Regions from separate parts of the Mus musculus genome. Here all the other regions are reported to be linked to region 2. Evidence: microRNA targets listed by miRTarBase, many of them from high-throughput screens and not tested one by one. Region 2 holds a microRNA gene; each other region holds the end of a gene's coding sequence.

Region 1 (3,154 bases), not on the chromosome of region 2:
TCTGTACACCGTGGCCACCCATGGCCCATGTCAGGGATGGGCCAGTGTCAGCAGCCCACGGAACACGGTGCTGGACTCCTCTGGTGACTCATCCCTAAGTCCTGTCATTTTCTCAGTTGAGGTGCCCTCTTCCTAGATGACCCTAGCTTGTCATATTGACAAAAACAAAAAAAAAAACCAAAAAAACAAAAGAACAGTCGGGACTGCAGGAGGTTGCCTGCCGTGGTAGACACTGCATCCACAGACAGCGAGTGTCTGTGGCTCACGGGAGCGTGCACAGCAGCCCGTAGTGTGTGGCACTCACAGTAGAATGGTTGTCTCCCCCTGACTTGGTAGAATAGAGAAGAAGCGCACCGTGGTACCCACGCTGGCTGAAGCCATCCAGGATGGGAGGGAGGTGAACTGGGAGTACTTCTACAGCCTGCTCTTCACTGCCGAGAACCTGAAGCTGGTGCACATCGCCTGCCACAAGAAGACCACACACAAGCTGGAGTGCGACCGCAGTAGGATCTATCGGCCTCAGACAGGATCCAGGAGGAAGCAGCCTGCTCGGAAGAAGCGCCCTGCTCGGAAGCGCTAGTGACACAGCCCAGTGTGCAGAGGACGGTCAGTGCCGGTGCTCATCGTGTTCCTGTGGCAGGGTCTTCACGCTCACCGCCCCAGGGCTGAACTTGGCCACTGTGATGTGTGTGGGGTGCTAGTTTGTGCTGAGCTTTTATGGCTTCTATTTCTACTGCAAATGGCAGCTCTGACTATACGCCTCTGAAAGAAACGGTGCTTCTGGGATAAATGTTTGCATTTTATAACGAACATGCAGGACATCCTCTGCTGCATTGTTTAAAATGGCAGAAGGTGGGAAGCCATCCAGATGTCTCCTGGTGTGAACAGCCAACTGTGGCATTATTTTGAGCCATGTGAAACTGATGTTTTTAATGGGTTAAATAATGGCTGTCATGAATTTCATGACTCAACACTGATATATGTATGTACGCACGATTGGAGCAGGTTTAAACTTTCATGTGGAGAAATAGGGAACTGTTAAAGGCATAGATGGCTTTATCTGTGCAGGGAATGACCTTGAACTCATGATCTTCCTGCCTCATCCCTAGAGCTGGGACCACAGGTGTGCACCACCACACCTGGCATTTGGTTTTGTAAATGTGTGTCAGCTTGTGCATGGTCTGAGGAAATGACACTCTGTAACCCTGGGGGATTCAGCAGGGCTGAGATTGATCACCAAGTACAATCTCCTACATCATGTATTTTATAATACTTCATTCTGCTTTTTCTCTGAGACCGGGTCTCACTATGTAGCTCTGGCTGGACTGGAGTTCACTATATAGACCAGCCAACCTCTGCCTCCCGAGTGCTGGGATTAAAGGTGTGTGCCACCACGCCCAACCTGAGTTTATTTTTGAAATGGGCATTTTATATATTTTGTAATGTTTGGATTTTTATATTTGCCATGTAATCAGAAAAACAATAAAGTGTTTCTAAAATAGACATGTCAAAATTTTTTGAACATATTGAGGAAGATGGGGCTAAGGGTGAGATACTGGCAGGCAGAAATTGAACATTTATCTAGGTGAGTTCATCTTCACAGAGGTGGCAGGGCAGTGCCCGAGGCAGCCAGCCAGGTGGGGCTCTCTGAGGACCCAGCTGCTTGTCTTAGTCATGGATGCACACTGTTCACAATGTGTCTTATTCTGCTTTTCTGTCCTTCTCAAACACCCCAGGACGTGCACAATCACTGCCCCCTACAGAATTGTTGCCAGGACTGGGCTTTCTGAAGTTTGATGTGTGTGTCTGTGTGTGCGTGTGTGTGTGTCTGAGTGTATGCTAGTGCACCTCGTGAATGCAGGTGCCAGGTCGGTACGATCGGGTACCTTGGAACTAGAACTGCAGGGGGCTGTGAGCCATTATGTTGGAGTTGGAACCCAGTCTGGGTCCTCTGTGGAGCAGCAAGTAGAAGCTGAGCCTTCTCTTCAACCTCAGGTTTGCCATTTGTGGCCTCTGTCAGCCATGCCCCTGCCGGTGTGCTGGTGTGCTCTGCACCCCTTTTGACCGGAGGTTCTGTCTCTCCAGTGGGATGCAGAACACTCATTGCAGCTGGAATGAAAAATGAGCCTTGAGTGAAAGGCAGAAGGTTGTCCTAGGTGGGACATGTTTTCCTGCTTCTGGGCCCTCAACTGGTTGCTGATGAGAAGTATCGCAGATAGGAGCTGTCATCCAAACCCCTCCTGACTCCCAGGATAATGTAGGCAGTGAGCCCCAGAAAAAGTGAACCAAAACATATGTAGTGACTCAGATGAGCTGTCTGCCCCATGACTTTGTCACACAGTGAGAGATGGCAGAAAAGCCTGGGACTCATGAGAGCATAGCAGGTATCAACTGCACAAGCTGAAGGGCAGCGAGCAAAAGGTTTAGAAGCCAGAGTGCTGTGAGCTGCTGCCAGCTACTTGGGATGAGGAGTGGGCTTTCATTCCTGAGCGAGGCAGGGCCACCAAAGGCATCTAGGAATGCTTCTGGCTTAAGCTGAGTCCAGAGAAGGAACTGTTCCCAGGAGGCTCTCAAGAGCTTGTCCCCTGTGCCATGGGGAACTCTGTCTGCCCCAGGCCTGGGCCCATTTGATCTTTGGGAAGACTGGAGTGGGAACAACAGGTCTTCAGCAAGGTACCAGGTGACTGACCTTCAAAACTATCCAGGGCCTGACTGGGCTGTCTCCCATTGTCTGGGGAACCTGGAAACCAGACTTGTTTCCTCTGGACCCTGCGCTGAGGCCCCCACTCCCACCTCCCCCATCCGCTACTGTCTGTTGGTGGCCTGCTATGTTCACGGCTCTCTGCATCTTGGTGCTTGTCTCACAGGTGCCCACGACTGGACCCACCTGCAGGTGCTCAACTGCAGAGGCACGGGGACAACCTGTGGAGGGCGATTCTTTCTACCATGTGGGGTCTAGGCGTTGAACTTGTATCAAGCTTGGCAGCAAGCGCCCTGACATGCTAAGCCAGCTTGGTGGACTTGCTTTGGTTTTTTTCTGTTCTTGTGTTGTTTGCTGCTGTGGACTGTAAGCACACACTGGAACCTCTCCCAGTATCCTTTGGGCCCGATCCCACATCTACCCACCACCGTCTGGACTTTCAGAGGATGCCTG
Region 2 (3,154 bases):
TTACATCTTCCACCCAGAAAATGCAGTGAGTGCTCGCATCAGGGACTGGGGTGGCTGCAGGCTGGGCCCGTGGGCTTTATCAGAGGAGTCCACAACCCCTGTGTGGCCCAGCAGCCTCCAATGGCACTGGAAAGGAAAGGAAATATCAGATAATGTCACTTTTTCCTGCCCCAGGTGCCTGTGCAGTCCTGGTTTGATGACATGGCAGATACAGAGTTGCTGAACCTGATTCCAGTCTTCGAGGAGCTAAGTGGAACTGATGATGTCTACACCAGCCTTGGGCAGCTGCGGGCCCCTTAGCCTTCCTGCTCCAAGAAACGGCCATCCCAACAGGGGACTCTGCTACACTGTGCCTTTGTGGTCAGCCTCACTGACGGGGTCTGCAAGTAGCCAGGGCGTGTGGGACAAAAGCAGGTCACACGCAGAGCAGGAAATCAGACCAAGACCCAGAGCTCTCTGCACCCCGTGCTCAGTTCCCAGGTGGTTGTGTGGGTGTGTGTGCGTGCATGTGCCCGTCCGGTAAACTATGGTCCTGGGTGCCCAGTTGTGCAGTAGGGGGAGAAGCTGAAAGATAAGGACTCAACCCAAGTCATTTGTCTTCTTTCCTGCTATGCTGTGAGCTACTGAGCTTTACAGCCATGAAAACTATTGTAGGCTCCCTCGCCAAACCATGGCTTTCCCTCAGCATCAAGACCTGTGCCAAGGAGAAGGGAGAGGCCGGAGGCTGCTTTGGATGCCCAGACACACATCTTTCAGAAAACACAGAAACCTAGCCAGCAGCTGCAGACATGTTTGGGAATATGAGAGCATGTTCGCAGACCCACCAGGTTCTGTGTCCTATGGGCTACACCTGGCTCCAGCAAGAATGCCTGCCATGGGCACTTCTCTGTACCCGGGCTCCAGTGCCAGGCCAGCCTCTCACTCCCAAGCCATAGTCCTACTCCCATGGGAAAGGAGGTCTTCTCTCTGCCCTGGAGGAGGACATATAGCTGATTTCTGTTCTTTTAACTCTTAAAAATCTCTTTCTAAACTTGGAGTGGTTTATATTCGCCCGAGCTCCAGTCCTGGGCCTGAGGTTTGTGTGGGAAGCGCTGGGGTACAAAGAAAATGCAAATGTTCAATGCAAGATGTCTGTCTCCTTGCGTGTAGATCCCAAAAGTGCTCTTCAGGGGTTCTGTGCTAGCTGATGCAAGGACATTAGCTCCAAAGGCTGGGGAGGGCTTGGCTCTCCCTCTGTGTCTTCCTGGTGTCCCGCCCTGGCCAGCTCTCGTCTGCTCTCGCCTTTATCCTTCTCGGCTGCTGCTCTTCCTCTCCAGAGCCTTGGGAGAAGGACTTTCCCCGGTTGTACTTAATTGATTGGTTGTCCCAAGTGTTGCTCTTACTTGATTTGCCAAATGCCTCCTGCTTCTCGTTATAGGACTGAGTGAGGTCCTCATAGCTCTGTGCTCTGGGCAGCTCTGAGCTCTCAGCCCTGTTGCTTTCAATGTCAGTCACAGAGTGGAAGTTTCCCCAAAGTGGAAAGCTACCATTGGGAACACAAGGGGCCCCTGAGGGGCCTCCACCTCACTGCCTTAAGTGAGTCCCGCCCACTCCCTGCCTCCCTCCGAGGTGGGCGGGAGTTCCTACCCCATCTCTGCTTCCCCTGGAGGCCGGCCAGCGTTTGTGGGTTGGTTCAGGTGTGGTACCTCCCACTCAGGAGTCAATATTTTCAAATTTTTCTAGTTTCCACACACGAGGTCCTGCCTGGGGTTTGAGAAAGCCTGGTGGAGGAGTGTGGTGGTGTGAGTGGAGACTGGCTGGCATTCCTCCAGCACTCTGCAGACTTCTTCCTGGGCCCGAGGCTATGGAGCCTTGGCTTTCACTTCTGTGACAAACACATGCCATTTCCCCAGCCTCATTTGCTGGTGTCTGTAGGGTCCTCCCAAGGTGAGCTGAGGGCTGCAGGTGCTAGCCAGGAACATGGGAGCTTGACTGTGGCTTCAGGTCCAGACCCTGATCTCACTGGCATCCCAATACTGCAGGAGGGGTCTTCTCACAAAGCTCTGAGGGCTGGTCTTGACTAAGCAATAAGAGCCTCAGAGTTGATTGAATTTTAAGGTCCCTTTCTGGCTTCTTGGTTCTCCATGTGACCAAAGCCCAGTGTGGCTTCATGGGAGCCCTGTTACTTCTCCATGAAACCCCAGCTCTCTAGGCCTGACTGCCACCAGAGTCCTCTTACCACCTGCAGTCTGCCACAAAGATGCCATATCAACTCCTCTCTTCCCAAAACTAAACAGGATCTATCATGGTGGCACGGAGTCAGCTAGATGTTGTCTCTTGCTATCCCTGTGCTAGTTCCATGTTTTAGAAGCAAAGTGATACTGGGGAGGAGAGGAGGGCAAGTGAGAGGAGCCAGTGCCTCCTGAAGCCCTTGCTCCACTGCCACCAGCCCGCCTGCCCCAGTGCAGACTGGTCTTCAGGAGTCAGTAGACCACCGGACCAGGTGTCAGCATCCACTCCAAGCCATGCTAGGAATCTGCCCCCTGCCGGGTTCAGCTCTTTAAGGTGCCTCTTCAGGGACACAGTGTGTGTCTGATTGGGCTTCGCATCAAAAGCCTGACGTTCCTGTCCCTCTTATAGGGGGAGCTTTGGACACAGGACCAGTTTGATAAAGGGCCAGGTAAGGGTTTCCACTCTGCACATTGTAGAGGGGACACCGAAGGCCCATGGGTCCCTAATTAAAGAAGTTGAGTGAATTTGCCTTCGTTCAACCAGGGACCTATCTCACTCCCTCCCAAAGATTTTTGTATAATTGTATAACCCCCCTCCCCCTGTTAACAGTGGCTCAGAAAAGCTTTGTACTAAAAGCATGGGACCCTCACAGCAACCATTCCTGGGAGATGGGTCCCTTATAGGTCCATGACCTGCTCTGTTCAGAGGCCTCTTGGCAGTGTGGCCTGTTTGTGCTGTCCTGCATCCAGTGTGTTGGCCTGGCTAAGTGAAAACGGTGAGCTGTTTCCCCTTTGGGCTACTTAACCACGGCTACTCCTTTTTTAAAAATGTCCTAGTTCTCCCCTACACACACACACACACACACGGTTTGATGAATTTCCAAACCACGGCTACTCCTTTTTTAAAAACGGGTTTGAACTCCTGTTTAGCCAAGAGTGATCTT
Region 3 (3,154 bases), not on the chromosome of region 2:
CATCACTCTGAGGTCAAAGGAAAAATGTGCTGGTGGAGGTGGCTCCCAGCAATGTAGTCAAATATGGTGGTATCAGTAAGTCTCAGCACCTTGTTAGCCCCCCTTTCCATTTGAGGCCTACCTAGGCTGTGCATGAAGTACTTACATAGTTCATCACACTCCTGTGTTCTTTTTTCTCAGCTCACCACTCCTTTCATTTGGCCTTGTCCAACCAGCGGAGGAGCCCTCCTGAAGAACCTCCTGACTTCTGTTGTCCGAAGTGCCAGTATCAGGCTCCTGATATGGACACTCTACAGATACATGTCATGGAGTGCATAGAGTAGGAGCAGCAGATGCAAGGCCACTTGCAGTACTATGTCCTGATCTGTGTGACTTGTGCTTTCCTGTTTTACCTGCATAGTCCACACTTAAGGGCTTGCTTTAGCCCTTTGGTCCCCCATTTAGGGTAGACAGCCCCATTCAGGGCTTTTTTTTTTCTGTGTGCCTGATCCAGTTTGCCTCTGGTGGCTTCTTCCCTCTTCTCCCATAGTCCTAGGGAGTCTAGAATGGAGGCCAGGGGCTCTTAGGGAGCATCCCTTCTCCAAGCAGGTCTGGGTACAGCTTTTCTTCTCTCCAACTGGTACCTTTCTTGCCGGTGAACTGCAGGCTCTCCTCCCAGGGCATGTGGCACTTGGGTCTATAACATGTGTTACCTCTGGTAGACATGTGGAAAGTATTCTGTCCTTTTGTTACTGTAATTAATGGTGTAGTGAAAGTACTTGTACACTGATCTGTGTGTACCTTTAGGACAGATGCTTAGATGTGACATTGGATCCTTGCCCTGGAGGAGGTGGGCAGACCTTTGGATTTTTGCCATCTCTAAGATATACCATTCTTTACTAAAGAATTTGCTTAAGTGTCTTTTTCTGGGGCATGTGGGCCCTTTTTAATTCCTCTGATGTAACTTGGATTTTCATAATTCCTACCCATTTTTCTGTTGGGACATTGCCATTTGTTCTTGGGCTTTGTAGAGCTTTTTGATTATCAGTCAGGTTGGTTTTGACTATTACAGAAGTGCACCCCTTGTTCCACATTGATTGTTAGTGTTTTGGGGCCTAGAAGCTGTTTTATACTCCTACTTACCCATTCTTTACTCCTAGTTTTTTGACTTTGGAATTATGACTGCTTTGTCAACAGAAAGGTATTTCACATGTATGCTTTCCTTTTTCTAGCCCCAGTGTGCTCTTGTTTTTGCCAAGCACATTGTTACCTTCTGTGAATGGTGGTGGCCATAGTTCATCACACTCCTGGAGTTTGTGATCACATGTTCTTCACCAGCCAAAATGTCCTAGGGAACCATTTAGCAGTGACTGACTGATCACAGAAAAGGGAACACTTCACTTGTTTTGCAAGGTTCTAGACATTTTGTGGGACCTTACCGTCATTGGTATTAGACCTGCAGTTCTAGTAAAGGAAAGGAAGTTGTAGTTGAGAAAGCAATAAATATGCCTTGCTCATTCCTTAGGTCTAAATCCTTCCTGCCCTCCTGTAAGCTTTCATGGTTCTGAGTGGTATCTGTGAATCCATCCCGGGGGCTTTTATTTACATGGTTTCTTTCCCATTAAGAGTGAGAAGGCTAAGTAGAATTCAGATTATAAAAAAGGATTTAAAAAGTAATCCTGAGCTGGGGGCTTTCTCGGAATTTTCAGGGGATGCAGAGTAAGTTTTCCATTTCCTAATTCCCAGGTATCTATCAGAAAGATCTTTAGGAAAATGTTAAAGGAACAAACAAGTTCTTTGCTTATGTGTTTTCATTTAAATACCTAATCTATAATTTTCCTTTAGGAATACTATTGGTTTAGGTTGAGTCCAGTTTTGTGGTGGTATATATCACTTTTCTATAGCTGCTTTAAAATTTTTCCTAAACTTGGAAGAGCAAGAACAACAACAACAACAACAACAACAACAAATCACTCTTTCCTGTCTGGAAGCCACATATTAAGTTTTTTCTGGAGGCTGTGAGAATCAATTCCAGGCATTCTCTTAACTTTCAGTGGTTTGTGGTAGTCCTTGGTGTTGCTTGGCTCATAGACCCATCACTCCAGTTTCTGGTTCTAGGGCCTTGTGGTTTCTTCCTCTCTTCTGTCTCATAAGGAAACCATGTTGTGCATGTGGGGTCTATTTGATTAGATTAAGGAGGATCTCCAGTTCAAGACCCTTAACTCATTCCACCTACCAAGATCCTTTCCCCAAATAAAGTCTTGTTCTCACATTATGGGGGTTTGGGCTTATATAACCCGGAGTATGGATATCATCAGAACCTGAGTAAATGCAGCCCAAAGGCAGGGCCTTTAAAGCCTTGTAATTCTGCTAGAGAGACCTGGTCTCTAGGGTGATGACCAGTAGTCTTCAGAGTTTGAAGGCAGACCCTTGTCAGTGCTTGATGCTGTTAGTAGGGTCAGTGGGAATGATTGGGAAAGGCAGGTTGGCTATAGTAGGAGAGAGCTGTTGGGCTGCCTGCAGTGGCTGCATGAGCTTCACGCTTCTTGGATAAACAGAGATGCATAGGTGCATTTCTGACCAGTACTTTATCCTGAAAGGGTCCCAGAAAGCAGGTGTGACCCAGGTTACACAGTAGGAAGCTTGAAAACATGGGCTTCATGCACTGGTCAAGACAAATCTGAGGGTGGCACAAGGTAATGGTTGGGACCTAGTACCCTTCTAGAAGGTGGGAGCCCTTGCCACCGACTTACCCTGCAGTATGGTGTATGATTAACCGTACATCAAAGATTTGAGATTCTACCATCTTTTTGACATGAGACATGCTCTTTTCTTTTGCAGAATTACTTAAGCTAGAACTGGAAAAAGTGGTCGTTCCATTCCCCTCAGGAATTAGTCTACTTGCTTTTGCACAAATTTTATGTGGCCTCTGGCAGACAACTTTTAGATCCATACAGCTAGAAGCATGCCCTTTCCAGAAGACCTGTTCTGGAATAGATAGTGCTTCTTATGTATGCTCTCTTCCTGTTGGCCCATGCCCAAGAGAAAACCAGAGAGCCAGTAAGACAGTACAGAGTGCTTCACCTACTGAAGTAATAAACGATAAGGCAGATTGTAGGTAGGAATGATATCTAAAAAGGAACAATTGCAGCCCTGTGTGTGACACCCTCAGGCA

Evidence for each region. The annotated mature microRNA mmu-miR-546 reads AUGGUGGCACGGAGUC and lies in region 2 at 2,285-2,300, shown strand. An mRNA with a match to its seed (bases 2 to 7 or 8) in the 3' UTR can be bound and repressed. Matches are read on the target gene's strand: a 7mer-m8 pairs with bases 2 to 8, a 7mer-A1 pairs with bases 2 to 7 and ends in A, and an 8mer does both.
Region 1: the mRNA of Dffb is a reported target of mmu-miR-546. Seed matches in the 3' UTR shown: 7mer-m8 at 1,388-1,394.
Region 3: the mRNA of Ikbkg is a reported target of mmu-miR-546. The part of its 3' UTR that is shown has no 7-base or 8-base seed match.

Annotation. Positions count from the first base shown.
Region 1 is chr4:153,962,796-153,965,949 of GRCm38, reverse strand. Dffb (DNA fragmentation factor, beta subunit) reads left to right here. Exons shown (of 7, transcript NM_007859.4): 7 at 337-1,501. The coding sequence ends at 580. Among named protein-coding and RNA genes, the nearest start is that of A430005L14Rik, 7.1 kb to the right of the region's middle.
Region 2 is chr10:126,996,187-126,999,340 of GRCm38, forward strand. Mir546 (microRNA 546) reads left to right here and starts at 2,254; the gene lies at 2,254-2,374. Ctdsp2 (CTD (carboxy-terminal domain, RNA polymerase II, polypeptide A) small phosphatase 2) reads left to right here. Exons shown (of 8, transcript NM_001113470.1): 7 at 1-25; 8 at 175-3,154. The coding sequence ends at 300.
Region 3 is chrX:74,448,037-74,451,190 of GRCm38, forward strand. Ikbkg (inhibitor of kappaB kinase gamma) reads left to right here. Exons shown (of 10, transcript NM_010547.2): 10 at 181-3,154. The coding sequence ends at 323. Among named protein-coding and RNA genes, the nearest start is that of Ikbkg, 20 kb to the left of the region's middle.